Linked DNA regions of Lepisosteus oculatus. The protein of the gene in region 2 purifies or fractionates together with the protein of the main gene of each other region. This does not show direct contact. Links are inferred from orthologs where the notes say so. Each region holds a gene or a part of one and is shown on either strand. Other genes may lie near its edges.

What was found. The genes of interacting proteins can lie anywhere in the genome.
Region 1: the proteins of ogdhb (region 2) and dlst fractionate together in Homo sapiens (co-fractionation; 3 studies listed by BioGRID). This does not show direct contact. The link is inferred for Lepisosteus oculatus from reciprocal best matches to the Homo sapiens genes OGDH and DLST.

The regions. Positions count from the first base shown.
Region 1 is NC_090703.1:9,037,037-9,047,396, reverse strand, and holds the start of dlst (dihydrolipoyllysine-residue succinyltransferase component of 2-oxoglutarate dehydrogenase complex, mitochondrial), read left to right. Parts: upstream 1-5,660; 5' UTR 5,661-5,753; coding exon 5,754-5,816; intron 5,817-8,660; coding exon 8,661-8,694; intron 8,695-9,000; coding exon 9,001-9,043; intron 9,044-9,674; coding exon 9,675-9,736; intron 9,737-9,844; coding exon 9,845-9,919; intron 9,920-10,360. Other genes in the region: prox2 (prospero homeobox protein 2), read right to left, coding at 1-504. UniProt on the Homo sapiens protein: Dihydrolipoamide succinyltransferase (E2) component of the 2-oxoglutarate dehydrogenase complex. The 2-oxoglutarate dehydrogenase complex catalyzes the overall conversion of 2-oxoglutarate to succinyl-CoA and CO(2).
Region 2 is NC_090697.1:69,253,269-69,262,651, forward strand, and holds the start of ogdhb (2-oxoglutarate dehydrogenase complex component E1), read left to right. Parts: upstream 1-4,978; 5' UTR 4,979-5,139; intron 5,140-9,383. UniProt on the Homo sapiens protein: 2-oxoglutarate dehydrogenase (E1o) component of the 2-oxoglutarate dehydrogenase complex (OGDHC). Participates in the first step, rate limiting for the overall conversion of 2-oxoglutarate to succinyl-CoA and CO(2) catalyzed by the whole OGDHC.

The sequences.
Region 1 (10,360 bases), on a different chromosome or scaffold from region 2:
CTGCTTCCTTTTGTTTTCCCGGTAGGTCTCCCTTATATCCCCACCAGTTTCACTCCTGTCTCCTTCTCCAGGCGTCTTTGCGTTAGGAGATCCTGCCATGCCTCTGATGATGTTCTCCACCCTGGCCCGCTTGGCTTGGTGGTGCTCATTCAGTGGTCGGTCACCCTCGGGGCTGGCTGTGGTAGAAGTGTGGCTACCTGGGGAAAGTGGCTCTAGGGTGCTGTCTTTGGATGAGCTGCTGCTTCTGTCCTCCTGGGCGGAATCTCCCATGGTGCAGCTGGAGACCGCAGTGGCAGGCAAGAAGAACACACCCTCCTCCAGAGCTCTCTTACTCTGAATGGTTTTACGCAAAAGCTGAGAAATGATGGATCCATTCGAGTACATATTCAGAGAGCCGTCATACAGATTTTTTCTGAAGGACGAATGGAGGATTTCCCCTTTGTCCTCCTCCAGATAGTTTGCGCTGGAGGAATGCATGTTTGGATCTGAGATGCTGAGGTTCATGTTTAGGGAGGCAATCGTTATTCAAAAAGAACAAAATTTAATGAAGAGATGCCCGAATCAATAAATCTGAAATGTTATCAAGCCCGATGTTGAGGATATCTGAAATAAAGACAAGCATTAAAAAACTTAATGTAAAAGTGTTTTCAATAGCCACCCATGTCCAAAATAAAATTTCCACACACAAATGTGTCTTTAAGATTGATTTTTAAATCACTCTCCCAAAGATCAATAAAATGGCAAAAAATAGATACCGTGAAAGTATTCCACCATAGCCATTGTCTCTTAATTAGAAGTTCTAGTGAGTCAAAATTTATAGAGTTGAATACTGAAACAGTGAAAAATGAATTCTAGCATCATATGAAAATCAACTCTATACATCTATCTGCTGCCACAATTGTATGATATTTTCTTTCAAAAAAATAAGTGTCTAATAAGGTCTGATGTATGATTTGTCTCTATCAATAAAATAGAAGGCAGCCACATCTTTTCTGGATTCCTCAGACATTATGTAAAAATGACATATGCTCTACATTAACGTACAAGTGACGCTCAGCAGCAATACATTGTTGACATTCCTGTTTGTTCAGCCTTATTGTACCAAAAACCATGAACATTTGAGCACAGCTCAGACCACAACACAAACCAATGATGAGTCCAACAATGCAACAATATCCCTCATTCTGCAGTGCTTGGTTTCGATCTTTAGTTTTAGGCTAATCTCATTCAAAAACCTTTCTTGCCAGTATGTATTCACTGTTCTGGTGAAGGACCCTTGCTTCTCACTATAAAGGCAAATTTAAAAAATGCAGAGATTGGGCATCATTAAACTGCAAAATAGCATCCCTTTATCTTGCGTGTTAAAAAAGATTAAAAACACCCTAAAAGATCTTTAATTATGGGACAAAAAGAGAGAATAAGGTCTCCTAAAGACCAAACAGATGAGTAAGATTTATTATTATAAAATATATAAAACACTCTTTTAATCTTTTTATTACTTGAGAAGCTAAAACAGTTGAAAAGTCAGTGATAAAAAATAAAAGACTTAACTACAGACTAATAAAAGATGTAAGGATACTATTATAACAGCACAGCACAATGAAACATGTACTTTCCTTAATGTAAATAATAACTTAAATGCATGAAGTGTTCAGAATAAATCTCTACACAACTCTGAAACAACAGTTTATGTTTAACACTAATATTTGTTTACATAGGCAAAAGCCTTAACTGTTACACGATTATAAATCGTACATGAAGGACATCAGGAATGTTTTGCTACAAAATTGGAAAGGTAGATAAATAACCAGTAACAAAGTCTGAGCCAGTCCATGAAAATTAACCTCAGTAAATTAAAGCATAACCCCTGATTCCTCATATTGTCCTTTTTTATAGCAACACATTGCCATTCCCTTTCAAACATGGGATGTAAATTATGCATTTGCACAGGTAGAACGTTTTCCAAAACCTTAACATATTTATAGCCCTGAAGAGATAATTACAATTTATCAGTAGATCCAAAATCCCAAAATAGGCTCATAGACAGTCTTACAATCAGTAAAAGTAAGAACCACACAGAACAAAGCAGAATGTATAGCTACAAGAATAGTGTTATTGTCGTTGTTGTTCATTTATTACAAGTACAGGTAGATACTAAAATACTGCACATTAATGTGTTACAAAACAGGTACAATTAACATACGCTGCAAATATAATTCCTATTAAAAAAGCATTCTCTATCAGCACCTAGCCAGCTACTGAATTCTTCAGAAACATTTTAATGAATCAAAAAACAATTCTGAAGCTTTTGTATTACTTAATCTTAAAAATAAACCTTTTCTGCATGACTCAGACGTAGTCAACAAGCTGGTAAACCACATACAAATTGTGAACTGAGGTGACAGAAAATCCTATTTTTCTGTAAAAATAAATGCAAATAAATAGGCCAAAGAAACGTTTAGCAAGCATTCTGTCTGTTCATGAAAAGTGAAAACAAAAAGAAAGACTGATGTATTATTAAACCATCATATCAGCCTTGAATACATTAATTGCTTTGGATAATAAAAACTTTATCATCATGCTAACTATATACTGTAACCTGTCTCTAGATTCATTTTGTCAGAGATTATACACCTTATCCCAACTATTAAAGGAATGATGGTTTTGTTTAGAATATTATTGCTGATCTCCATGTAAACTTCACTAGCATTTTACACATCCTGTACAGTGCCTTTCTCAGAACACAGTTTTCAGAATCTCATACATTTAAAGTACACCATTTATTTCATTTGTGTCACAATCACTGATTTTATATCCGCTTCTGAAATATTCTGAAATGACATATTAAAGAGAAAAAGCATCTCAGATGGCAGTTTTATTTATATAGTTTGAGAAAGTTGTTTACATACTAAAAAAAAAAACATCTGTTGATGAAACTTGTAAAAACAGAGCCACATTTGTTACACAGGATGTATGTTTATGAGATATTTGGTTCAACTGAGAAATATTGTTCAGTTGAATTCTTTGTATTGTTTGAGGAATTGTATTTGTGGTGTGTTCTTGAAATAACATTCTTGGGATAGTAAAGCAGACCTTACAATATTGTCAGACATACTAACTTAATGTACCTAAAATGCCCATATTAATTTTTAATGCAATATTAATCCTCAATTTAAGTTAAAAGAATTTAGTGTATGTATAGTACAAGCATTGCTTGTAAAAATGTGACCATATTTAAACGTAATCAAAGTATGTTCAGACTTGGACAAATTTGTGTTAAAATTAACCAACAGGTGAATTTGTTTCTCTCAAATAATTTTTGTAACATTAATAAAACATTAAGGAATCCAGCTTTGGTCTTATTGTTGATTTCAATCAACAAATCTTGATTAAAATCGTGTTGCTCCTGTTTGAACGCAGATTGCTTTGTGTTTTACTCAGCAATTATTTTCCATGTAATGAGAACTGGTCACAAGTGTGCTAGGTTTCAGAATTGGGCAAGTTATTCCACTTAGCTGAATAAAAGAGGAAATGAGGTACAGTAGTTGAGTAGTTGAATACACAACAGTTAATTAGTAACTTTACTTCCCAACAATAAATCAAAGCTTCTCTTACCGTTAAAATGGCATTTACAGTATTAAGCACACTTAAAAACAAGCACAAAAAACTAAGTTCCTTGTTATTTCTCTTTTATCTAAGACATTGGACATATCTTAACTGTAAAAACTATATTACAACAAATCATTTGACTAATTCAAATAAAAACGTTCTTATCCTTATCATCTATGACAGAGTGAAGCATACTCAGGGTACTTCCGTTTTTTCAGTGTTTAGTCTCATTGTGGTTAAATATTAAGAAGTATATAATTCGTAACTAAGGAGTTGAGTATCAATAAATTTAGAAAATGTATTCTAAAGTATAAAATATAAAATCCTACTCAAGATCTGTTACATTGTACCGTGGACAAAATGCTCCATCTTCCTTTTTTCACAAGATATGATGTGAAATGCTATATCACAAGATGTAAATGCATATAAATAACACGTTCTAGGAGTTTGTTAATACATCCTATTTAAAAACATATGTTTGCATTATTATATTTAATCTATAAGTACTTTCCCAAAACTGTTCTTAAAATAAATCTTGCCATACGGTGACCAAAAAATAAATACCAAGTATATAGCAAACCATTACATTGATAGAGGTGTAATACAAACAGGGCACAAGTTATTTGCAACATATTCAAACAAATTGATTATTATCCAGTAAATGCATTTCATGTTCTGCATTCTGACAGATTATTAAAAGCAGTCGGTGTCCTTCCTTAATTACAACAAATTGCTAGTCGACTACAATTATTAATAATATCGACAACATCTAAAGTCTATTTAAAGACGGAGAAATAATCACTTTAACACGGTGTACTACTTGTCCAGAAGATTAAGCTACAAAATGTTGTAGACATATACAGTATTTCTCTACACTTGCAAAGGCACATTATTTGCTTCAACCTGAAATGACTAGGAGTTTTTTTCCCCCACACAATTAAATATTTTTCATTGCCATCTTTCAGTAATGCGGTGAAAGTACAACTTAATAGTAGGAAGATGAATAAACTTGAAAAACAAAATCGGGAACGTTGCAGTTATGTTCTAAAAACAAAAAAAACAAAAGGCGTGTTATTCTGTTCCATAAAGGAAGGACACTTGAGATCGAGGAGGGTTTCTGAGGTTGTCTTACCTGCAGCCCCGCTGAGAAGATGCTACTCCCTATCCCTGCGAGAAAGGTTAAATCAATCCTGAGAGCAGGAGCCTCAAAGGCCGGTCCATGACACAAGGGGCTAGCGGAGGTGTGGTCAGCTCAGGCAAATCGGAGTTCAGCTATGTTAATGAGACGAAAGCGGCGCTGCAGGAGCGGAACATGACAGGGAATTACAAAGTAGCGGTGATGTTCGTTACAATCACATTTCGGTGCATGAACAGCAGATATCTCCCTTTCGTGTTTTTATGCCGTTCAGATAATGCGTTCCTTCTAACGTATCCCTTTTAAAACTCAAGCAGAACAGAGAGCTGTGCTTTCTGATACAGTACAACTGTACGATTTGACTGGGTGTCACAGCCCGATTCTCAGTCCGTGCTATTATAGCCCAGAAATAAAACGACAAGTTTCTGTTGAAAACTCGAGGTGAACTCGCCATTCTACACATTTAGAGTTGTAATAATTAATGAATTATTTGTGAATGAGTTAACTAAGGATAATTATCAATAAAATCTCATCACTCCCGTTTGAACCCCAAGCGTAGTGTTTATTCCAGTAAGCACGAGTTTTTCTGTTGCATTGTAAAGCAATATAAAACAATAAAGATAACTGTAGTAGCATCTGTGGGCAAATCCGAGAAGAGACGTTAAACCATTGCAAAATAAGTCAACGACATTCCTAGTTCTTCACTAGTGAAGAAATCCCATTTTTCACAAAGCAAGAATGTTTAACAAATGCGAGGGTACTTAAAAGAGACAACGTGTGCTTCCCAAATTCCTGTATTTAAAAAAAAAACATTTTTTACTCCTTTTGGATGTTCCTAATCCCTATTCGGTGTTGGTTTGCCCCAACAATCCCAACCTCCCCTCCCCCGTCACTGTTCACGTTGGTTTATCCCAGGTTGTTTCCGCCCTGTGGTTCTGTGTGACAGCTTCTTGGTCGGGTTGTCTGCTGTTGGTTTTCCCCGGTACTGCTACCGCTGTCCTTAGTCGTCATGCTTTCCCACTCCCGGTGTTTCTCCCGGACTCTCGGCCGCTCCCTCTCCGCTCTCAGCCAGGTAGGCTCTTGGAAAAAGCAACCCGCCGTTAGCTCGCTGGGGCTGAATGCGAGAGCCTGGGGTTTGGCAGTGAGGCGGTGGAGTAGGATGTAGGCCGGGGATAGGCCTCACGACACCCCAAGGACAGAGTGACACTCCGTACCCGCGATCGCAGAGCGGCTCCTCTGTAAAACACTGAGAATAAGCACCCTGAGGGTTGAGGGGGCGACTTGAATAATAACGAAATCCGGTCGTATAATCTTTGTATTCTACGGCGTCATTGAAGACACTTTGGGGAAAAACTTCTGCGCTGAAGTGAGGTCATTGATAGGTTGTTCCATTAAAAAAAAACAACACTTGCCGAGTTACATTTGTGCATGTAGCGTTTGCAAATTGCCACTCTGTAGTGCTTTATTTTTTCCCCGTTTTTATTCTGCCCGGCTGTTGTGAATTGATCAACGTAACAGAACAAGGCTGACCTGCAGCTCACATGTTGCCCCTTGACTGAATATTATTAACGGCAGAAGAGAGTGAAGGCACAGCCCAAGGTGGCCTGTGGTGTGTTGAGCGGTCTCTCTTTTAGAATTTAATACGGAGATAAACAAGTTCTGAAACCATAGAAAACAGTAACCAAAGTCGTTTTAACTCTTGGTGATTTTGCAGGTATTGATCATGTATAATAACTGATCTGTTCAGCTAGGTTCACGGTCAGACGGTTGGCGGTTAAGGTGGGGCAGAGTATCCAAATGTCTTGAAATTTCACCCCACTTCAAAGACAGCAGGTCCACCCTGTAGGACCATGTCTGTGATAGTGTTTGAACTCCTGCCTTGCATAAGGAGGTGCATCACAAAGTATTGATGGCCTTTAGAATTCCCCAGTGTTGTGTGGTGTTGCTAAACTCAGCCAATGTTTTCTTACAAACTTAGGCATGTTTAAAATAGTATCACGCATTAAAATCACATGAGTTCTATTTGTAAATTTACATTTCATATTTTAATGAACTGCCGGGTGTATGTATAATATGTATCTTAAATACATTCCAATCGGAATAGAGGAAATTATTTCACACTAAGGGGTGCATTTATTTTGTAGTCCATGACTAAAGAGATGATCAAAACTCCACAAAAGTTCAAAGTAAAACACTGTGCCTTGTTTGGGTACCTGATAGGAGTATTAAAATATATTTTGAATTTTCAATCAGAAATAACATATTTTAAAATAAATAACCATTTGATATGTACAGTTATTAAAATCTTGCAAATATGGTATGATTTATTAGAACTTTGTTTCCACTTATATTTTTTATTCATTATGTAAGCAGCTGTTGTTGTTAAATGTTTTGTGTTAACCTTTATTTGTGTGTTATGTTATAAAACTGGGGGTCAATAAGATTCATTCCCAGTCACCCAGGAATGATCACACTACAACTGCATACTTTTAAAAATAGCTTGAGGGGTGAATGCAGTACTTCAGGTTACTTGGGTACTAGGGCTTATTTGTTTTTTTTCTTTGCAAAATGTCAGTTTTCAAAAACATTTCCCTAAAATACAATTGTAAATTGAGAAAGTTCCCAAACATACTGAAGTAGTTTATTGTATAATTTCCATGTGGTGTATATTTATGTATATTTAAAGAATAATATTTGGCTTAAAGCCATTTGATTTTTTTTTAAACCTGTAGAATGAACATATAGAGTTTTTCTCAATCAGAGCACTCCACTCACAAGTGGTTTTTGGCTGCAGAGAATTGTAAGAAGGCTGGTTTACAAAATCAGTGGCATGCCAAGACAGTATTACTAATGGAGAAAAATTAGCTTGACTCCACAGTCTGAAAATGTTTTGTTGGACAGTGCCTTCAAGATCATTAACAAAAAAGCTATGTATGTGACATTTCACTACCAATATGAGCCAATATAAAACCCACTAAAACCACACCACATTGCTTGCACAAAGGTCAGATGAAGATCTTTTTACTTTAAGAAATGAAAAATCTTTGATGTTTTTTTCTTTACTGAATTTCTGGAAAGATGTGCCATCATTAATGGTATTTATGGTCTGAAAACATTTCTCAGAATAGAAAGATTGCATAATTCTTGTACCTTGCCCCTTTGTGAAACAGTAGTCAAGGCATCCAGTTCTTTCTATATTTCTGTTCTCAGCATAAAATGTGCTGATTAAGAGGTTGTCCTTTTATTGTTATTTTACTCTTGTGTGAAGCTGAGGGTCTGGGCCTGCTGGACATTCTGATTCTTTTGTCGCAGAAGAGATGTAAGGGGAGTCAGGGAGGAGGGGGTCATTATAAAGTATGGTTAGGCTTCTCTTTGTTCTTAACATAAGTTTTTTGTAACAAAATGACAATAGGTACAGTAAGTTGCAGTCAAGTAGTTTTGAGTTGGCCTTTTTCTTCCTCCTGAAAAGAAAGATCGTCTTCAGACTCGAAACACTGAAGTAATTATAAAATGTTTTGCTGAACTGTATATTTTGGTGAGGGATTCCTACAGTCTATTTTATTTGCTATGCTAAAGAAAAATATTACTTTCAGCTTTATCGTGTCTTGTGACAGTTTACTTGTATCCGCAGGTATATTTAATTAAACTGGAGTCACCAGTTATATAAAATATAATTAAACCGGTGTTACCACACGTACGTGAACTGCAGTCCACAGTCCTTTAACCTATTTTTCTTATCTCATTATCTTGTATTTTCATGTATTCTGGAATCAGAATTCATAGAATTGGTCATATCCTATTAATTGAAGAATGGCAATTTACAAACTTGATACAGGTCCAAAATACAAAATGTGTGCTTATGTTAAAACTTATTTTGTGAATAAAAGCATTTCATGTTTTTCTTTTCTTTCAACAGGGTAACAGTGTCTTAGGGAGGAGGGCCATTTCAGGTAAGGATTTTGCCTTTTATTTTCACTGATTTAGCATAATTTAGTTCTGTTGTCGGTCATACACAAAGATTTTATGTCTTATGAATATCCATAAAATTGGTCAAATTCCCCATGAATGATTCATGAACAATTCTACTGGAGATGATAATGCTTATTGAGTACCCTGATTAAATAAAGGGCTTTTGAGAGGTTAAGTACTCTTTACAAAGGACCACTTAAATATACAGTAAGATATTAATAGGATTACTCTATTTAAATAATGGAGTATTGTCATCAGACTGTTAATGTTATCCTTTATCTGTTTAGGCCTTTCTGCTTGTCATCACCTTGCTTATGAGAAGAGCCGTCTGTAAGTGTTCTGTTTTTTTGGAATCTCCTTTTGTCACCCATATATATGTGCATGTGTCTTTATTAATCTCTAAGTCCTCAAGTTAAGTTGAACGGCTCAAAAAAACTTCTCTGAAATTGTCTGGAGTTATATTGCTTTCAAGCAGTATGATTTCCGAGTTGTTTCATTAGTAAGAAAAAATGAGTTCATGATTATAAATGTTCAACATCCTGTAAAGTGCACTTGTTCTATTTATTTTAAACACCTGTGGGTTTGCATTTAAAGTCTTTTAACCAAGGTGAAATTGGGTCTTTTTATGGTTAAAGAAACCTCAGACATAATTTTACTTTTAACGTTCAGGACATCAGTGTTACTATCATTCTTTTACACAAATACCAATACATTGTCAATATTCCCATAAGAGTTTTGAATTGAATTAACTGTTGATTCATTTAACCAATATGATGGAACTGAATAGTTAGTTAAACATTTTAACAGACGTACATTTGCATTACTAGAGTTTTGTCAAGAGTAATTCTCAGTTGTAAAGATAATCGGTATGAAATTAGCTGCTGATAAAGAAAAATGTTAATCGTACAGTAATTCTGCTTTTTTACTATTAAAGCTGCCTGAATAATCACATTTCTTTCAGGGAATGTGGCAGGAGATCTAGTGTCTTCCACATTAGGTACTTTAAGACTTCAGCAGTCTGCAGTAAGTATTCACCTGCCTTGGTCCCATTTAAAATTAAAAATTTGTCTTCAGTTTGTTTTTTAAATTGCCTTTAGTAAAGTATGTTCACATTCTTTTTTGTTTTAACAGAAAATGAAGTTGTCACAGTAAATACTCCTGCATTTGCGGAGTCTGTCACAGAGGGTGATGTAAGGTGGGAGAAAGGTATTGTTTTTTTTTCCCATTAAAGTTTTGGAATTTAGAATACTGTATTAATTTCTTTTTTATTCTGTAGTAATTCTTGCATATTTGACTGCAGTTCTATATATCGCAGAACAGTATTGTCATTTATTACTAGATTTACAGTTTTGGTGTATCCATATTGGTATACATTTTTCAGAAATGTTTTTATCACTATTGATATTAATTATTGATATAGTAGTTCAGGTGGGTACCTGCGTCAGCATGCGTAGGCTGCAAAGGAACAAGTAATAGGTTTATTCCATGTTGAAAAAAAGAAGAAAGAGAACACAACGTTTCGGCCGTGGAGCCTTCTTCAGGTGTGAGCCCTGAAGAAGGCTCCATGGCCGAAACGTTGTGTTCTCTTTCTTCTTTTTTTCAGCATGGAATAAACCTATTACTTGTTCCTTTGCAATTATTGATATA
Region 2 (9,383 bases):
TCATTCTTCTCCCTCAGGTCACAGGTCAATGCAATGGACTTTTGCTGCAGTTTTCCCAGTTCAGCATCTTGCTGGCTCCTCTGCTTGGGGTTCTGGAGAGTTTCTCGAAGCCCGACAGTCTTCCATGGAAAAGCCTGACGGCTATGACTGAAAGTCTGGCCATGCGTTTGTCCTTTTCTGGAACCAAAGGGTCCCAGTCACATGTTCCTGGCAGCTGGAACAACTGCAGGTCTGTGGAACTGTGAGCCCCCCTCCAAGGTCACATGATCTCCTCTTCAGGAGAGTTTCTGGACCAGGCTTCAGCTCTCTTCTCCCAAGTCAAGCTCATCTCACTTGAGCACACCAGACTGCAGCCTGCGTTCCTCCGCGTCTCCTGGTGACCAGTCTTATGTTCTTTCTTCTTCATCTCCGAGGTGCTGGCCTCTTCCGAAGAGGGAGCTGTAGAGTGTTCTGGCCTTGCCGCAGGCTCTTACCGGAGCAGAAAGACATGCCTCCTGTGGTCTGCGGGGCTGGGACCTGTTCATGCTTCTCACAGCTGCCGGTCCAGGGAGGGGGCGAGGGGGGTGGGCTCTACACCAGTCACACCATCTCCTGGCGGGCCCAGCTGATGGTCTTAGCTACCGCCAGCTCCTCTCAAGCACTGCCAGAGGAGCCTGACCCATTTCACTCTGTTACAGAGTCTTCTTTTCCCAACTCTTGTCTAGCTACTAAATCATCTTCCATTGTTTTAATTGCATTCTCAGGGAAGGAGAATAATTTCCTCCCCCTTTGTTTGGGTGAAAAAAAAATCGAGATGAGAGACGACTTGCATCGGTTTTCGTCTTTTTTGGGGGGGATTGCAATACTTGTATTGACCGCTAGGGCTGGTTCTTCTTAACCTGGTAGCGTGGTTTCGGACGTTCAACACCCGTGAACCACCTGTGAACCACCTGTGATAGGGCGCCTGAAACCCTATTTTCAGTCGACAGGAGAGCCGTTCTGTTTCTCCGCCCCCTCAAACCTACGGATATGTTTATTCTTTTTGTTTTCAGTCAAACACTGTACACTGGTCTCGCCTTTTCGGAAGCCTTTTAAAGAGAAGACTGCTCTACTTCAGCTGCAGCAGGTTCCGCTCCCGTAGCCTCGTGCGAATGCAAAGTCTGCGCTTGTTGATGCCCCGCGTGGGGCCTTCCACGCCGTACACCTGTAGCGGGGAAACCGCTGCTCCACTAAATCAAATCAAAATTCTTCAGTCAATCGTCTATTTTTAAAAGGGTCAAAATACAGTTTACGATCACGAAGCCATGACCACTCGCAAGACTGTTGTTACTTGGTTTGAAATTCAGCGCAGTCCATCACTTTTCAACACCTCGGTTATGGGTTACAGTTATTTCGCTCTTGAATTCTCTTGTTTTTTCAGTCTGAAACTCCAGACAAACCTGTACGTGAGCTGCCGGGTGTCCGAAGAAAACAGTATACGTTTGCTTTTAATCCTGCTGAATTTCCTTTGTAAATAAGACCTGCGGTCTACGTACACGTACGCTAGATGGCGCAATCCAATGCTGTCAAATTTTCGATTAAAAAGTGAAGAATAATGGCTGATAGAACAGTAATTATTTTCGTTTGTTGTTAAGAGCTTGCGTGTGATTGAAAATGCCATGTTTATTTAAACATGATATGTGGAAGGCACAGTTTTTACAATGCAGTTGCACCTTGGTAAAAACAAAAGTTTAAAACAGTTTATTCCTTATCTCCATCGGGGTCCAAATTTTCGATTCTGTTTTCTCTTCAGGGTAGATCTAATGTGTTTTATAATCTTTTATCTCGATTGACCTGGTTTAGAGGACAAACAGCATTGTGGCTTGAAAACTAAATTATTCCAAGGACACTAAAACTAAAGACAAGGGTGTGGCACGTTTGTAATAAATGGTGCAGATTTAATCTTAATCCCGGGCCCTTTATCGCAGCAGGAGGCGCCCACGATGCGACACTAGGACACTCCAGCACTTCCACGCAGCTTGTGCGGTAGTGGCCGGCAGGCGCTCAGGTGTCGCTTGAAGGCCAGTGCAGCCCTGGTCCTCGCCCAGTGCCCCTAGCAGCGCCGCCGGAAGACGACAGGACCTTAACATCCGTGTAGCATGATTCGCTCTTCCCGTCACAGTCCCACTGCAGGGTCCCGCAGCGAGGGTGGGGGGGAGCTGGCGGGGGAACCACACCGCCCTTCCGAAACAAGAAAGGGAGGGGCAGCAGCTGGGGGGGAGGGGCTTACCCGGACTCGCTCGGGGTTCTCGTCGCTCCTCCAGCCCAGGGTCAAGCCGCCTGCCCCGCGGAGAGGTGGTCCTGCGTCCGCTCAGCTCTTCGGCTCTGTACGACGCTGCTCTCTCTCTCTCCTCCTGCTGCCTGACAACACCGAGCTGACGACTCTTTGTAGTATTCCTTCTGCCTTTCTTCCCCCCCTTGTCCTTCTTTTCAAAGTATAGTTTCTCCGCAGTTTAAAACCTTCTTTTCTTTTCTTTTTTGTTTCTGTCAGTTCTGGTTTCTATGAAGATATTAAACTACTCTATTTCTCGGATGATTATTCTGATGATTACTGTTCTCCGATGTGCTCTATGTGTTCTCTGACTTAAGGAAATGTGTTAAAATGTTATCAATAAAAGCAACAACTTCAATATAAGCCCTCCCTTCTCTCTCTCTCTCTTTCTCCTTGCTGTTGTCGTTTCCTCTGTCTGAAAAACATTGAAAATGCCAGAAGGACTGTAGCTGATCCAGTGGATCCTGGCTTAAACTAATTAAAATGTCTTTTTATCGTTGGCTAGCATGGCTGCCTTGTAGCACCTGGAGTACTGTCTGTGAGGAGTTTGTATGTTTTTCCCAGGTCCACATGGGTTTCCTCTGGGTGCTCCAGTTTCCTCCTACAGTTCAAAGACATACTGGGTGAGTTGGCATCTGGGAAAATTGGCCCTGGTGCGAGTCTGTGTGCCCGGTGATGGAGTGCCGTCCTGTCTTGTCCAGGGTGTCCTTGTGCCTGTTTCTTGTTGGGATAGGCACTCCCCCACAACCCTTAATTAAATAAAGAATTTAAAAAGGGATGGGTGGATGGAATAGCCAGATTCTTTAGCTGCCACTGAGCAAAAGCTGATAAAACGAGGAAGTTATAGTGTTCCGGGCAAGGTGATGACACCCTGTGGTGACCGGTGTCTCCTGCAGTCTGTCCGGCGGACGAAGAGTTCCCTTTCCTCATTGCCAGCTGCTGTCTCGCTGATTTCTGGCAGAGAGGAGGAATGCACTTGCACCAGCTGACAGGGCAGAAACCTCTCGTGACGTGGAAATGACGGCTCTCGTATCGACGCACCTGCGGACGTGATCCCCCTCTGACCCCTCCACCTGGCCACAGATGCGCCCCCCCCCCGGCACCCCTTCGGCGCCCCGCTGTGCTGATGCTGCAAGGCTGGTGTGAGCAGAGTCCAGCTCCTCCTTGCACAACAAAGGACAAAGTCTCTCCTCCTGACCCCCCCCCGCCCCCCCCCACCAGCACTCACTATCACAGGCGAAGTGATAACAGCGAGATCACGCACACCCCCGGAGGCACATGTACACAACACCCGCACGCAGCCTCTCACATCGACAGATGGACTGTGCTCCCACACCCAAAGACAGCTATACAGACACAGGTGAGACAGACACACAGCATGTTTCTGCACCAGGCAGCAGGCCTGCACGGACGCAGATGGACTGTGCTCCCACACCAGCTATACAGATGCAGGTGAGACAGACATACAGCATGTTTCTGTACCAGGCAGCAGGCCTGCACAGAGACTTCAGAATCACACTGGCACAGCGCTTTCTGAGACTGGTGCAGCTTGCACTGGGGGAAGGGCCTCTCTGACTCACCCCTCAACTTAAGCATCCTTTACAAACAGAGGGTGACTAAGAAAGCCAAAAGCATCAGGGAGTGTGTGTCTCACCCCCTCCATTGTGAATTCACACTTCTCCCATCTGGGAAATGCCTCTGTGCCCCCCAGGTATAAAACCAACAGACTCAGGAAATCTTTCGTCCCCACTGCAATCACTCTTGAACAATGCAAAGTCACTACCTTGTCTCTTGTTTCTTTTCTCCTGTAACACTTCTGTATTCTCTTCCCTTTTGATGATGTGCATTTGTCATTGTGTTGTGTTTGTGTCGTGAAACTAATTTCCCCTAGGGGACAATAAAGCTTGAATTGAAAAAGATAAAGCTTGAATTGACAGCGTTTCACGCAGTGGTGTTTGGGGTGGGGGTGGACAGAGTTTTCACTTCTCACACAGCTGTAAAACTGACCACCACTCTTTGGCCTCAGGAAGGGCAGCAGCGGCCTCTCTGCTGAGGTGGGAGAGGAGCACAGCTGGTCAGGAGCAGGCACGCCTCATGCGGACTGTAACCAGGGTGAGAAACCACCCTTGGCCTACTCCCACCAAGCCCTTCATTACATCAGCAGGGATGACTGTCCAAAGGCTGCTCTAGAGTTTCCCATTCACATCCCATCCTGTCACCTAGCAGCGGCAGATTTCTGGTCTCTAGGGGCCAAGACCACAGCAACACACAGGTGAACTCATCTTAAAGAGGTTAGGGAGGCTCCCCACTCACACACAGCACGGTGTGACAAAACCTTTAGCAACGCACATTCCCAATGCTCGGGGCCTGGATTTAACACCGAGCGTAACCCAACTAGTAAACACCGGACCTCGTGAAATCAGGACGCTTCCTCCCGTCAGGACTTTAAGTAGCAAACTTCTTCCTAAAGAGTTTATTTTGTCTACGTGTAATTCACAATGTAAAAAGCTGAGGAATAAAACGGTTGCTTCTTTTTTATATTTATTTAGCAAAAAATATTTTTTCCTAACGGGCACTACAATACGCTTAACAAACGGCGAGCTCGTCCTTTCAGCTAAGGTTACGTCTCCCAGCGTGAGGGTGCGGCACGCCAAAATTCCTGTTCGTGACGTCAGAGCGCGGTGACGCAGAAGGCCTGGACTCGGAGTAGTCTTGCTCCGCGCGCTGTCATTTCCAGTCTGGAGAATCGGAGGGCAGTGCGGCTGTGAGGTGCCGAGCCGCTAGTTAACTAATATTCGCCGAAATACTTACAGACTTTCACCCGCTAACCGACTAAAGGAGAACAAAACGTAAGTCCTCTGCATTATTTCTAGATAGGTTGCATTTAGAAAAAGAACGGCGCGACTAAAAACCGGGGGAATGAAGCACATCTCTGTGACGGCATAGAGAAGTAACTTAGGATCTTTTAGTAATAGGTAGCGATGGGAGCAGACCTTCTGTAGTACCTGTCTGAACTCCCGGGCAGGCCTTGGGAATGCCAGGCTGTAGTTTCTTTCCCCTGCAGGAAAGGTGGCTGAAATATTCTAGCAAAATTGTTTCTGTAACCCGGTACGCAAGGAAAGGACACAGTGATGGACAGTAGCGACGACCCAATCGCACCGCCGCGGTGTAGGCGGGCTGCTGCTAACGCAGCCAATCAGCGTAGCTTTTAGCAAGGATGGAGGCGGGACTGAGCCGGGCGGGACTGGGCTTGGTTGAGTTTAAGGAGAGAAAGTGCAGTATAGCGAGGACGCAAGGTCAGGACATAAGCGTAGTCCGCTAGTGGGACAAACAAGACGCGGGGGGGACATAGGCTCTCTGGGAACTTCACTGGAGGTTCAGCGCAGAACTGTGACCGGGTCCCCGTGCTGCAGAAAGCTGCCTAGTTGTTAAAGGAGGGCTGTTTTGCTGCACTCACTGCGGCTACGGGTTGCCATGAAAAGAGACCCGCGCATACACACACAACGCGCGTGTGTGTGCGCACATTGTGTGCGTTCCTGGAAGCATGAGGCGAGATAACACTTTTTTTTTTTTACAGCCCCGCACAGTACTCTAGTCTTTCTTTTTAATGCTGACTTCAGCAATCAATACATAATGAGGAATGCATAAATTACTCCAACGCTTAGAAATAAACGAGCAAAAGGGCAAAGTTCTATGTGCTGGGACCTACCCCAACCACCATCGCCTCTTCTTGGGTCTGTGCTGAACAGGGCTCTTTTGAGTTGTCTGTTATTCAGCCACAAACGCTGTTCAGCTCAAACAGAACAGAAGATACATGGCTGTAGAAGCAGCAAGGGCTTGAAAAGCAGATAACATGTAAAAAATGAAGTATCTCTTGCATTTCACAATTAAAAGTGTGCAGTTCGCATATAGGTGATCTTTTATATAAGATCTTTTCTTGGCCATTTACATGTGGAGCTTGCACTCCTTTTGTATCTCTTTTCACAGTACACCATCTTCACAGTAAAATTAGAAACGGATAGAAATACATCTCAGGGCTTAAAGGTGCTGATGGACTTGGAGATCAGTCCACACAGTCCTGGGGCTACCCAGCAGGATGCGAAGCCTGTGACTTGTTCAGAGCCCTGCTTGAGTGATGCAGGGACTTGCACAAGAATGTCGACAGGAGCCCATTCTTCTTCTGTAATTGGAGAAGGAAAAAAAATCATAACGTACCTCTGTGAAAGCATTCCAATAACCTTAGGAAGGAGGCATGTCATCCTTTCACAACAGGCCTGCTAGCGTTGTTTGCAGTCGCAATCTGTTTGCTGCGTTGTTGCTTGGTGTCCACTCTCTCTGGGTCCTGGATCATTCCTTCTGCTTGTGTTCTCACCTTGTGCGGCGCATAGGCGCGGGCCTTATTTTTTCATTTCATGCTGTTCGGCTTGGTGCACACGGCACAATCTTCACCGTGAAGTTTTAGATGTAACGTAGAGGAACGAGTGAGTTTCACAGACACGGGTGTCTGTGATGAGCCGCATCAGTGCTGTGCTGCTCGTGAGTGGTGAGTGCCGATGATTCATAGTAGCTTCAGCGTGATGTACAGCACTGAGTGGATGAGGTCTGTATGTGTGCACTGGACGAGGAGCTTAGTCACCTCACGTTTATCTCAATACAAATGGAATGGAGGGCAGCATGGTAGTTAACTGGGTCCTGGCTTCGATTCCAGCCTGGGTCTGTTTCTGTGAGAAGCTTGGAATGTGGGAGGGAATCGCAGCACTTGGTAAAAACAATTGCTGACTAGGTATAGCGGGCCCGGTGACGGACCTGTGTCCCATCCACAGTATCCCAACCACTGGGAGAGAGGCTCCAGGATGCATATCAGCAATCCGCAGTTTTCCGATAACGGATCGATGGAGTTAGACTTCACGGCAGTTGCTGTAGCAAGACGAGGGAGAGCCACAGTAATTGCTGATGTGGTACATTGTGCAGGAAAGCACATGACTGCATACGGAGCACAGGAGCAGTCCTGAAGATGGGGGAGCCATCAGCTTGAGTTCTGTTGTTACTGTTGTATCCTCAAACATGCCACTGTGTGCCCTGTAGTCTGGTTTGCCTGACACTTCCCTGATCTGAACCTGAGTGGATCTTCATTTTCCTGCCCAGAAACACCAGCCAGCATCAGCTTCCTCTTGTCCCATGGCGAGCTCTGCCCGAGACTCCATCTTTAACCTTCTTCCTCCATAGAAATTTGAGTCCTATGATGACAGTCTGTGGGACTTTCTTCTCTTTCATGTTTCAAGCAGTTGCCCTTTGCCCCCCCCCCAGACAAGGCTGAACAAACAAATGTTTTAATTGTCTTTTTGGTTTGTTTAAGAGGAAGGGTCCCGAGAAGAATTCAGGTTACATTGTCTTGGATTATGAATTAGCTGCACATGGAACACTTAATCCTGTTTTTACCCCTTTGGATGGAACAGGTGATGCTCATCTGATTAGATTTCTTACTGGACAAACCAAAGTCAGACTTTTCCGATTTGACTTGCAGACATGGAGTTTGGACCTTCCGTGAATTCTCCTCCCACATATCCTTCTTTTTTTTTACTGCCCGTGTATATTTCTGGATCCCAATATGTGCAGTTTTTAAAACTGAAACTTTGAATCTCTTTTCTGGCTCTGTGAGAATCCTGACTGGGGCAAGCTGCCAGACAGCTCACGTGTTCCTGAGCCACAGTTAATGAATATTTGGAGTTGCAGGTCTTGACTGTGGTAGGCAGAGCCCGCACAGGACCCACATTACTGACTGTACATGTCTGCTCCGATGATCTGTCTTCCTGCTCAGTAGAGAAAAAATCTACTGTGTGGATTTCAACTTTGCAAGCTGAAGGCACACTTCCTCTTGCCAAATAGGCCTTAGCCATTGGCAGCTGAAGCTGAGTTCTCGGTGTGACCACAGGCTGACCTGGGGACACGCCTGAGATAAGCTCGAAAGCTTGCATGAACCTGCGTTGTCAAACAAGTGATAAAAGTCAGGCTTTGCATGTTGCAGGTTCCAGAAGCGATGCGACAGAGCGTTAGGTGTTATTAAGAGGAGAGCCGTAGCCCTGGAGCTCAGCTCACGCCCTGGCCCGCCCTGTGAGGGTGTTGGGTAAGAAGCAGAGGGTCCCCACGTGACCTCGTGCTGCCCCTCGGGACGTGAACTGAACAAATCAGGTTTGGTTCTCAGGTTCTTCTAGACCTCGGGCCTCAGCCTGCGTCCCCAGGACAAGGGGGGGTTACTTGACAAGGAGCCCCTGAGAGCTCAAGTGATAGAGGAGTCTCTGACACAAGGGCCTTGACAGAGGCCCATTCAGGTGACTGGTGACTGCAGGGCGTTTCCTTCCCTAGACTGCAGACGGAAACAGCTTTGCCAAATAAGGAAACCCACTGTCACCGTTTTCTCCGCTGGATACCTAAATGAAGTAATCAGGGTTGAGGTTTAGGGAAGGAATTTGACATGGGAGGGTACAGCAAAGTTGTTTTACTCGCAGTGTATTTCACCTTTTCCTTTTATGTTACATTTTTCACCTCTTACAAATATACAGATTCCACAGTGGATTACAGTGTATGTGCCATCGTGTTTTTTATATATCCAACACCTCTACTTCTCTCTACAGCTGTTGTCTCAGTTACAGCGAAAACTCCTCTGACAGCAGAGTCATTCTTCAGTTCTTCTGTGATTTGGCAGGCCTTTGTCAGGTTGTTAAGGCTACTCTCGCCTCTCTCAAAATGTCTCTGGGGGTCAGTGTAAAGAAAAACACCTTCCGTCTCCATACTGCATGTCTGTGCATTGTGGTGGCCTGGGGGTTTTAGGTAGGTAGGGTACACGTCTTGCACAGAAGCAACTGAGGCCTGTAGGCTAAATTGAAGTAGACACTAGGGCTGTCTCTCTGCAGTGTTTGGCGATCAGACCTGGCTATAGTTGTGGTTCTGGGAATGTTTGGCCTGCTTTCTGTAAATAGAAATTCCTTGAACATTAAAGATGATCTGTCTTCTGCGGGACTCGGGTCTTGTAGTACAACACATGTTGTTGCTTTAAGTAGCACTTTTCTGTGTGCACTAGAGCATTTCGATGCTG